Saccharomyces cerevisiae S288C: one gene and its partner. The protein of the gene in region 1 interacts with the protein of each later gene in a biochemical or structural test. Each region holds a gene or a part of one and is shown on either strand. Other genes may lie near its edges.

Region 1 (5,208 bases):
AATGAGAATGTGCTAGTTCGGGACGTCTTAGTCCAAGGATCCCCGTAGCAGACGCGCTTCTTATCCATGATTTTGGAGAGTGTAACGACGGTGACCTCGAACTGCCTTTACCACCCTCTTGTTTCTGCCTACCACGCCCCCTTGTGTTTGCATTAACGTTCATAGTTGTCGAACTATTTGCGGTAAAATCAGATCGTTGAGGACGCAGCAAAGGCTTCCTCTTCGGTGGAAACCCCGAATCGTTCAAATCTTTGGCCATTTAGCGTACGATATACCTGTTGACACACACGAACAGTCTCTTTTCGCCCTTGCTAAGAGCTTCTTTCCATAATCACTATGCGGCTCTTCATTGCAATACTTTTATCATTATTAAAATAGCCTCTGAGAGCGGGTCACGGCCCGCTGAAGGGAAAGAACAATTTAAAGCCAGTTTTAAGTTCAATCCACCGATGGACGAGAGGCAAATAAGACGGATCAAAGACACCGAATCATTCTAGCACGATAATGTCGTTGAATATACATATCAAGTCAGGACAAGACAAGTGGGAAGTAAATGTGGCACCTGAAAGCACAGTGTTGCAATTCAAGGAGGCGATAAACAAAGCGAACGGTATCCCGGTGGCAAATCAGAGATTGATCTACTCGGGTAAGATTTTAAAGGACGACCAAACCGTGGAGTCATACCACATTCAAGACGGTCACAGCGTCCATCTGGTCAAGTCACAACCCAAACCACAAACCGCCAGTGCCGCTGGCGCAAATAACGCCACCGCCACCGGTGCAGCAGCTGGCACTGGCGCCACCCCGAACATGTCGTCAGGTCAAAGTGCAGGCTTCAATCCGCTGGCCGACTTGACCAGTGCCAGATACGCTGGATATTTGAATATGCCATCTGCAGACATGTTTGGCCCGGACGGTGGTGCATTAAACAACGACTCGAATAACCAAGACGAGCTGTTGAGGATGATGGAAAACCCCATCTTCCAATCGCAAATGAACGAGATGTTGAGTAACCCTCAGATGTTGGACTTTATGATCCAGTCCAACCCGCAATTGCAGGCCATGGGTCCACAAGCCAGGCAAATGCTACAAAGTCCCATGTTTAGACAGATGCTCACCAATCCTGATATGATTAGACAGAGCATGCAATTCGCAAGAATGATGGACCCTAATGCCGGTATGGGCTCTGCAGGTGGGGCTGCCTCTGCCTTCCCCGCTCCTGGTGGCGATGCTCCAGAGGAAGGCTCCAACACGAACACTACTTCCTCATCCAACACAGGGAACAACGCAGGGACTAATGCAGGTACCAACGCAGGCGCTAACACAGCTGCAAACCCATTTGCGTCTCTTCTGAACCCTGCATTAAACCCCTTTGCTAACGCGGGAAACGCTGCATCCACCGGGATGCCCGCCTTCGATCCTGCATTGCTAGCGTCTATGTTCCAACCCCCTGTACAAGCATCTCAAGCAGAAGACACCAGACCACCGGAAGAACGCTATGAACATCAATTAAGACAACTAAACGACATGGGCTTCTTCGATTTCGATAGAAACGTCGCAGCCCTCAGGAGAAGCGGTGGCTCCGTCCAAGGCGCTCTTGATTCACTACTGAACGGCGATGTTTAAATAAACGTCTAGATGCCGCAACCTATATACTTTTACCCTACTCTATCGGCATATATTTAATCTACGTATTACATGTATCCATCAATAATATCATCATAATATCTGGACACTTTTGGAAGACGCGCCCTTGCGAAAGAAAAAAAAAAATTTTCGTTTCACACCTACAGTAATAAACACATAATAACAACGAGCTAATCATCCCAATCAATCACCCCTTCCCCCTTTAATTAGCAGCCAGGGTACTGTATTTAGTCATATAGCGGTACTTGCATTGACCGCGAACGTGTAAACACAAGCAAAGCAGATTATGACCACACAAATAAGGTCTCCCCAAGGCTTGCCGTATCCGATTCAGATCGATAAACTCATTCCAAGCGTAGGTTCGTACCTTCATGAGGGTGATAGGTTGCTTGTCTATAAGTTCTGGTATTTGGTGGAAAGGGCCTCAGACACTGGTGACGATGATAACGAGCACGATGTTTCCCCCGGCGGCAGCGCCGGAAGTAATGGTGTCTCTCCGCCAACCAAACAACTGCGTGAATCCATAGAATTCTTCGAAAGTCCCTACGAGGGGGACTTGATTAGTTGGAATGTAGACGTAGGAGATGAAGTAGCCACTGCTAACCAAGTGATTTGCGAAATAAAAAGGCCATGTAACCATGACATCGTGTATGGCGGGCTATGTACTCAATGCGGGAAAGAAGTTTCTGCAGATGCCTTCGATGGTGTACCACTAGACGTTGTCGGGGACGTGGATTTACAGATTAGCGAGACAGAAGCCATTAGAACAGGCAAGGCATTGAAGGAGCATTTGCGACGGGATAAGAAACTTATCTTAGTGGTGGATTTAGATCAAACCATCATCCATTGTGGCGTGGACCCTACGATTGCAGAGTGGAAGAACGACCCCAATAATCCGAATTTTGAAACATTAAGAGACGTCAAGAGCTTTACGTTGGATGAGGAGTTAGTACTCCCACTTATGTACATGAATGACGATGGTTCTATGCTGAGACCGCCTCCCGTAAGAAAATGTTGGTACTACGTGAAGGTAAGGCCCGGTTTAAAGGAATTTTTCGCTAAAGTGGCGCCTCTTTTTGAAATGCATATCTACACAATGGCTACAAGGGCTTATGCCTTGCAAATTGCCAAAATCGTGGACCCTACGGGCGAATTGTTTGGCGATAGAATTCTGTCGCGTGATGAAAATGGGTCTCTAACAACTAAATCATTAGCTAAACTTTTCCCCACTGACCAGTCAATGGTTGTAGTTATTGACGACAGAGGTGATGTTTGGAATTGGTGTCCAAACTTGATCAAAGTTGTTCCTTATAACTTCTTCGTTGGTGTAGGTGACATTAATTCTAATTTCTTGCCCAAACAATCTACAGGAATGCTACAACTAGGGAGGAAGACAAGACAGAAGAGCCAAGAATCTCAGGAACTGCTGACGGATATTATGGATAACGAAAAAAAACTACAAGAAAAGATAGATAAAGAAGTTAAACGCCAAGAAGAAAAATTGAACCATCAACTGGCGACTGCTGAGGAGCCTCCTGCGAACGAATCCAAAGAAGAGTTGACCAAGAAACTAGAATATTCAGCATCTTTAGAAGTCCAACAACAAAATCGACCCTTGGCCAAACTACAAAAACACCTGCATGATCAAAAACTACTAGTTGATGACGATGATGAACTATACTACTTAATGGGTACGCTATCAAACATTCACAAAACTTATTATGATATGCTCTCACAACAAAATGAGCCAGAACCAAATCTGATGGAAATCATACCAAGTTTGAAGCAAAAAGTCTTCCAAAATTGCTATTTTGTTTTTTCAGGATTAATACCCCTCGGGACCGATATTCAAAGGTCGGACATAGTGATATGGACGAGTACATTTGGTGCCACTTCCACTCCAGATATAGATTACCTGACGACACATTTAATCACCAAGAACCCTAGCACTTATAAAGCGCGTCTAGCGAAAAAGTTCAACCCACAGATTAAAATTGTTCACCCAGATTGGATATTTGAGTGTTTGGTAAATTGGAAAAAGGTGGATGAAAAACCCTACACGTTAATCGTGGACAGCCCCATCTCCGACGAGGAATTACAAAACTTTCAAACACAATTACAAAAAAGACAAGAATATCTGGAGGAGACCCAGGAACAACAGCATATGTTGACATCACAAGAAAATCTAAATTTATTCGCTGCTGGTACTTCATGGTTAAACAATGACGACGATGAAGATATTCCGGACACAGCTAGCGACGACGACGAAGATGACGACCACGACGACGAAAGTGATGACGAAAACAACTCGGAAGGCATTGACAGAAAGAGGAGCATCGAGGACAATCATGATGATACATCACAAAAGAAGACCAAGGCGGAACCTTCTCAAGATGGTCCTGTACAACATAAAGGAGAAGGGGATGACAACGAAGACAGCGATTCGCAGTTGGAGGAAGAGTTGATGGATATGCTGGATGATTAGCAGCTCAGATGCCGTATCTTTCCACACATTTTCCTCATTGGTCTTTGTACCTATAATTGTTCATATTATATATACGTTTGTAACAAATCGATAAATAGCAACAATATTTTTGCTTATTTTGATATCCTGAAATCCTTTTTTTTTTTTTTTTTTTTTTTTTTTTTTTTTTGATTTCATTTCGTTTTTTTTTTTTGAACATTATATATTGTATTGTTTTCTCCCTGTAGCGAGAACTAATTGATTCTTTCTCCTTTCCCCCTAAATACTCAACAGTACTCTCGAGCCATTAGCTGCTGCAATTTCAAAAAATGTTGCAAGGAATTTTAGAAACCGTACCATCTGACTTGAAAGATCCGATATCATTATGGTTTAAGCAAGACCGCAACCCAAAAACTATAGAAGAGGTCACCGCTCTCTGCAAAAAATCCGACTGGAATGAGTTACACAAAAGATTTGATTCTAGAATTCAGTTTGGCACTGCTGGTTTAAGATCGCAAATGCAAGCTGGCTTTAGCAGGATGAATACTTTAGTAGTCATACAAGCGTCTCAGGGATTGGCAACTTATGTAAGACAACAGTTTCCAGACAATTTGGTAGCTGTTGTGGGACACGATCATAGATTCCATTCTAAGGAGTTCGCTAGAGCTACTGCTGCTGCATTTCTTTTAAAAGGATTTAAGGTACATTATTTGAATCCTGACCACGAATTTGTTCATACCCCTTTAGTTCCCTTTGCAGTGGATAAGCTAAAGGCCTCCGTTGGCGTAATGATAACAGCAAGTCACAACCCAAAAATGGATAATGGATATAAAGTATACTATTCCAATGGATGCCAAATCATTCCACCTCACGATCATGCCATCTCTGATTCCATTGACGCAAATTTAGAACCATGGGCCAATGTGTGGGATTTCGACGATGTTCTAAATAAGGCTCTCAAACAAGGGAAATTGATGTATTCCAGAGAAGAAATGCTGAAGTTATATTTAGAGGAGGTTTCTAAAAATCTGGTAGAAATCAACCCATTAAAGCTTGAAGTAAAAGCCAAACCTTGGTTCGTTTACACTCCAATGCAT
Region 2 (4,852 bases), on another chromosome or scaffold:
ACTATTAAAATAGTTTGCTTTTGTTAAATGCCCAGTTTCACGCTATAAGTATGCAAAATTAAAGAATAAAAAGCCCAATGAGGAATAAAGCAGTTTTATTGAGGTGAGACTAAAAGGGTCTAGCAATGAAAACAATATATGTTTCCTTTTTAAAATGTACCAAAGTCTTTATACTCGCTCGTTGATGTACTGGGCGTTATCAAAACTGTTTGCCACTGGGTAGTTGCCTTATGGTCACTATCTGCAAGTTAAATTCAATCGCAAGAGGAAGAGAAAATAAACCGTCGCATCACTTTTCTACACTTACCCGGTTATTAATTTTATAACGTTTATATGATATATCTTTTCTTATTTATTATATTATGAATCGTGAAAACGGATTAAGCTATGCTTACAATTTGGTTTCCTCTAGTTTCGTGGCAATCTCGTTGGTCTTAGTAGCGCCTGGGTACTTAGTACCCTTATTCTTTGGTTTCTTAGCCTTTTTCGACTTTTGTGGTGTGGCAACTGGATAACCCTTTTCGGAGGCCTCTTGAAATTCCTTGTTGTTGGCAAATTCTTGTCTGATTGGCTCCAATAGCTCGTTGATAGCGTCAGCAACACCAATTTTTAGATCAGGTGGGGACAATTTTTCTTCTTTAAAAGCCAATTTCATTTCTTCGAAGGATTTGTAGGTAATTGGACCACCGAACTTTTCTGGTCTATCAATGAAGAATTCGAAGTGATTTGTACCAAACTTCAATTCTTGGATTGGTGCAATGACATATTGGACAAATGACAGTAAACCATTCTCTTCGACGTTACCGGGGCTACAAAATGCACTATTGATCTTTTTCTTAACTTGCTTTGGTTCTTCCAAAAGGTCGATTTTTGAATTCGGATCAGAGGCAGACATTTTACCACCTTGAGCCAAACCTGGAACCATAGGGTTCATTAAATGTGCTCTTTTCTTGTAGCCCAAACTTGGTAAATTTTCTTCCGCTAAGACAAAAATTTTTCTCTGGTCGACACCACCAAATTGGCAATCAACATCTAAGAATTGTTCGTCCAACGCTTGCATTAAAGGATAGATAAGCCCACTCAATAATGGATTGGCGACTTGCTTGACAACATCAGCGCCTGCCCTTTTAGCATCGTTTTGTGAAACAATGTTGGATAATCTAAAGATATCCATGGTATAGTCTGGAGTTAGCTGGTAAGAAGAGCCAACAACAAATTTTAGCTTTTCAATTGGAACATTGATGCTTCTCAAGATAGCTTTGATGGTCAATTCATAGTATTTGGCCCTATAGTTCACCACTTCCAATGGCGCCTTCATGTTGTCCAAAAAGGCGTGCAAGTCTGCTAAAAGAACAGTCACTTCACAACCTGCTTTCAAGAAATCAGCAAGCTTGGTCATAGGAACAAAATAACCACAATGAGGTCTTCCAGTGGGCGCGGTACCCCAGTATAATTTCAAATGTCTCTTTTGTACTTCGAGAACATCTTTGATGATTTGTGGGTTCAAGACTTCTTGCAAGTTCTTGGTAATGAGACCGAACGCCTCATTAGGGTCAACCGTGGCAGCAGAGGACATGTTATCGTCAATTAGAGTATGCGGTTATGGATGCTAATCTCTTTTTGACAATGACTAATTTGTATTCTGAAGAAAGAACAATTAATTTTCATAAAATTTTTCTACTTTGTAAATGTTCGAGTTCCGTTCTTAGTGATGCTCGAATAAGGACCTTCTCGCCTCCATGATAAAATAAAAATTATGATAGTAAGAAGTATGGATGGTTCGAAAGGTTGAAGAATAGCTAGGGAGGCCTATTCGAGTAAGCGCAAGGATGTCCAGACGCAATCCACCAGGCAGTAGAAACGGGGGAGGTCCGACGAATGCCTCTCCCTTCATTAAAAGAGACAGAATGAGAAGAAATTTCCTGAGGATGAGAATGGGTCAAAACGGCAGCAATTCTAGTTCCCCAGGCGTACCAAATGGAGACAACAGCAGGGGATCTCTTGTCAAAAAGGATGATCCTGAGTATGCTGAAGAGAGAGAGAAAATGCTTTTGCAAATCGGTGTCGAGGCCGATGCTGGCAGGAGCAATGTTAAAGTAAAGGACGAAGATCCTAATGAATATAATGAATTTCCCTTAAGAGCTATTCCAAAGGAGGATTTAGAAAACATGAGGACACATCTTTTGAAGTTTCAGAGTAAAAAAAAGATAAACCCTGTAACAGACTTCCATCTTCCCGTAAGACTGCATAGGAAGGATACGAGAAACTTGCAGTTTCAGCTAACAAGAGCAGAAATTGTTCAAAGGCAAAAAGAAATTTCTGAGTATAAAAAAAAAGCAGAGCAAGAAAGAAGTACTCCTAACTCGGGTGGTATGAATAAATCAGGAACGGTCTCGCTCAATAATACTGTTAAAGATGGGTCTCAGACACCTACTGTTGATTCAGTTACTAAAGACAACACGGCCAACGGTGTGAACTCCTCCATTCCTACTGTAACTGGCTCTTCTGTCCCTCCTGCTAGTCCTACTACTGTATCCGCCGTTGAAAGTAATGGACTGTCAAATGGTTCAACTAGTGCAGCTAACGGTTTGGATGGCAATGCATCTACAGCGAATCTAGCTAACGGAAGGCCGTTAGTGACAAAACTAGAGGATGCAGGCCCAGCTGAAGACCCTACTAAAGTTGGAATGGTCAAGTACGACGGAAAAGAAGTGACTAACGAACCGGAATTTGAAGAAGGAACTATGGATCCACTAGCAGATGTGGCACCAGATGGAGGCGGTAGGGCCAAACGAGGAAATTTGAGAAGGAAAACTCGTCAATTAAAAGTTCTTGATGAGAACGCCAAAAAGCTGAGATTTGAGGAATTTTATCCATGGGTTATGGAAGATTTTGATGGGTACAATACATGGGTGGGTTCTTATGAAGCAGGTAACTCAGATTCTTATGTCTTGTTAAGTGTAGAAGATGATGGAAGTTTTACCATGATTCCTGCTGATAAGGTTTATAAGTTTACCGCAAGAAATAAATATGCTACTTTGACCATTGACGAAGCAGAAAAAAGAATGGACAAAAAAAGTGGTGAAGTGCCACGTTGGTTGATGAAGCATTTGGATAATATAGGTACAACTACAACTAGATATGACAGAACAAGAAGAAAGCTTAAAGCCGTCGCTGATCAACAAGCTATGGATGAAGATGATCGTGATGACAATTCAGAAGTAGAGTTAGATTATGATGAAGAGTTTGCCGATGATGAGGAGGCACCTATTATAGATGGTAATGAACAAGAAAATAAAGAATCAGAACAAAGAATCAAGAAGGAGATGCTGCAAGCTAATGCGATGGGGCTTCGTGATGAAGAAGCTCCTTCCGAAAACGAAGAAGATGAGTTATTTGGGGAAAAGAAGATTGATGAGGATGGTGAAAGAATTAAGAAGGCATTACAAAAGACAGAACTTGCAGCACTATACTCATCGGATGAAAATGAGATCAACCCATACTTATCTGAATCCGATATTGAAAACAAAGAGAATGAATCGCCCGTTAAAAAGGAAGAAGATTCGGACACTCTATCCAAATCCAAGAGATCTTCTCCAAAGAAACAGCAAAAGAAAGCTACAAATGCGCATGTGCATAAAGAGCCAACTTTGAGGGTGAAAAGTATTAAAAACTGTGTCATTATCTTGAAGGGGGATAAGAAAATACTGAAAAGCTTCCCAGAGGGAGAATGGAATCCACAGACGACAAAAGCTGTAGATAGTAGTAATAATGCATCGAATACAGTGCCTTCGCCAATCAAACAAGAGGAAGGCTTGAATTCTACAGTGGCAGAAAGGGAAGAAACTCCAGCGCCTACAATAACAGAAAAAGATATCATCGAGGCTATTGGTGATGGCAAAGTCAATATCAAAGAGTTTGGAAAGTTCATCAGAAGAAAATATCCTGGCGCAGAGAATAAAAAGCTAATGTTTGCCATTGTAAAAAAATTGTGTCGAAAGGTTGGCAATGACCACATGGAATTAAAGAAAGAGTAGGTTAGTTTATAATGTTATGTACTTAATAGGTTATTTAGTTTTCGTTCTTTTCATTCTTTCCTTTTTCTTTCCATTTAATCTTATGTAGTTACATTATACTGTCATTTTAGTTGCAGTAAGTATACTTTTTTATCTAGTCTTTTTTTCTGCCTTTTTTTTGAGAAAAGACTCAGAATTCTACTAAACTCTAATATATTGTTATTTCTGTATTATACAATTCTATGCTATGTGAACTGTCCTTGAAAGTGACCTAGGCCACTTCGACAATTTCATCTTCTTCGTCGTCATCTTCTTCTTCTTCACTCTCCTCCTCTTCTTCCTCTTCCGCATTCTTTGATGGCATCTCTTCCACTGCTCCCGCACCTGGCTCGCCTCTCATTAACATATTAACAATTCTGTAACATAATTCACCAATATCTTCATTCTCAACGTTTTTATGCAGCTCCCTCACTAGTGGATAAACGGACTTGTCTCTTAAGTATTCTCTTCCAGCATGCGTTGTACATAGCAAAAGAATACTTTCTAAATGACAGCATATAATTGCAGGAATCGGGTCTCTTTCCTTGTCCTCTGGTAATAATTGAAGTTCATCTGGTAAATTGAACATATCTTCCTCATCAATTTCAGAATCTTTAGCACTAGCAATAGGTAGCAGGATGTAAGGCAACAAGTTTATTTTTTCATCTTTGAGTAACCTTTCATGAGTTTCAGAATCAAATAGGGAATTTTTAATTGTGGAAGCGACACCTTCTCTTCTTACCTTTGCATCATATTTTTCGGTAAATACTAGCAATTTTGAAATAGGAACAACCCCA

Evidence for each region.
Region 2: the proteins of FCP1 (region 1) and TFG1 form a complex in vitro, tested with the Saccharomyces cerevisiae proteins (3 studies listed by BioGRID, with this or other methods).

What each region holds. Positions count from the first base shown.
Region 1 is NC_001145.3:818,323-823,530, forward strand, and holds FCP1 (protein serine/threonine phosphatase), read left to right. Parts: upstream 1-1,933; coding exon 1,934-4,132; downstream 4,133-5,208. Other genes in the region: ubiquitin-ubiquitin ligase BUL1, read right to left, coding at 1-259; ubiquitin domain-containing protein DSK2, read left to right, coding at 505-1,626; phosphoribomutase PRM15, read left to right, coding at 4,441-5,208. UniProt on the Saccharomyces cerevisiae protein: Processively dephosphorylates 'Ser-2' and 'Ser-5' of the heptad repeats YSPTSPS in the C-terminal domain of the largest RNA polymerase II subunit (RPB1). This promotes the activity of RNA polymerase II.
Region 2 is NC_001139.9:865,945-870,796, forward strand, and holds TFG1 (transcription factor IIF subunit TFG1), read left to right. Parts: upstream 1-1,829; coding exon 1,830-4,037; downstream 4,038-4,852. Other genes in the region: tyrosine--tRNA ligase TYS1, read right to left, coding at 392-1,576; HGH1 (Hgh1p), read right to left, coding at 4,288-4,852. UniProt on the Saccharomyces cerevisiae protein: TFIIF is a general transcription initiation factor that binds to RNA polymerase II.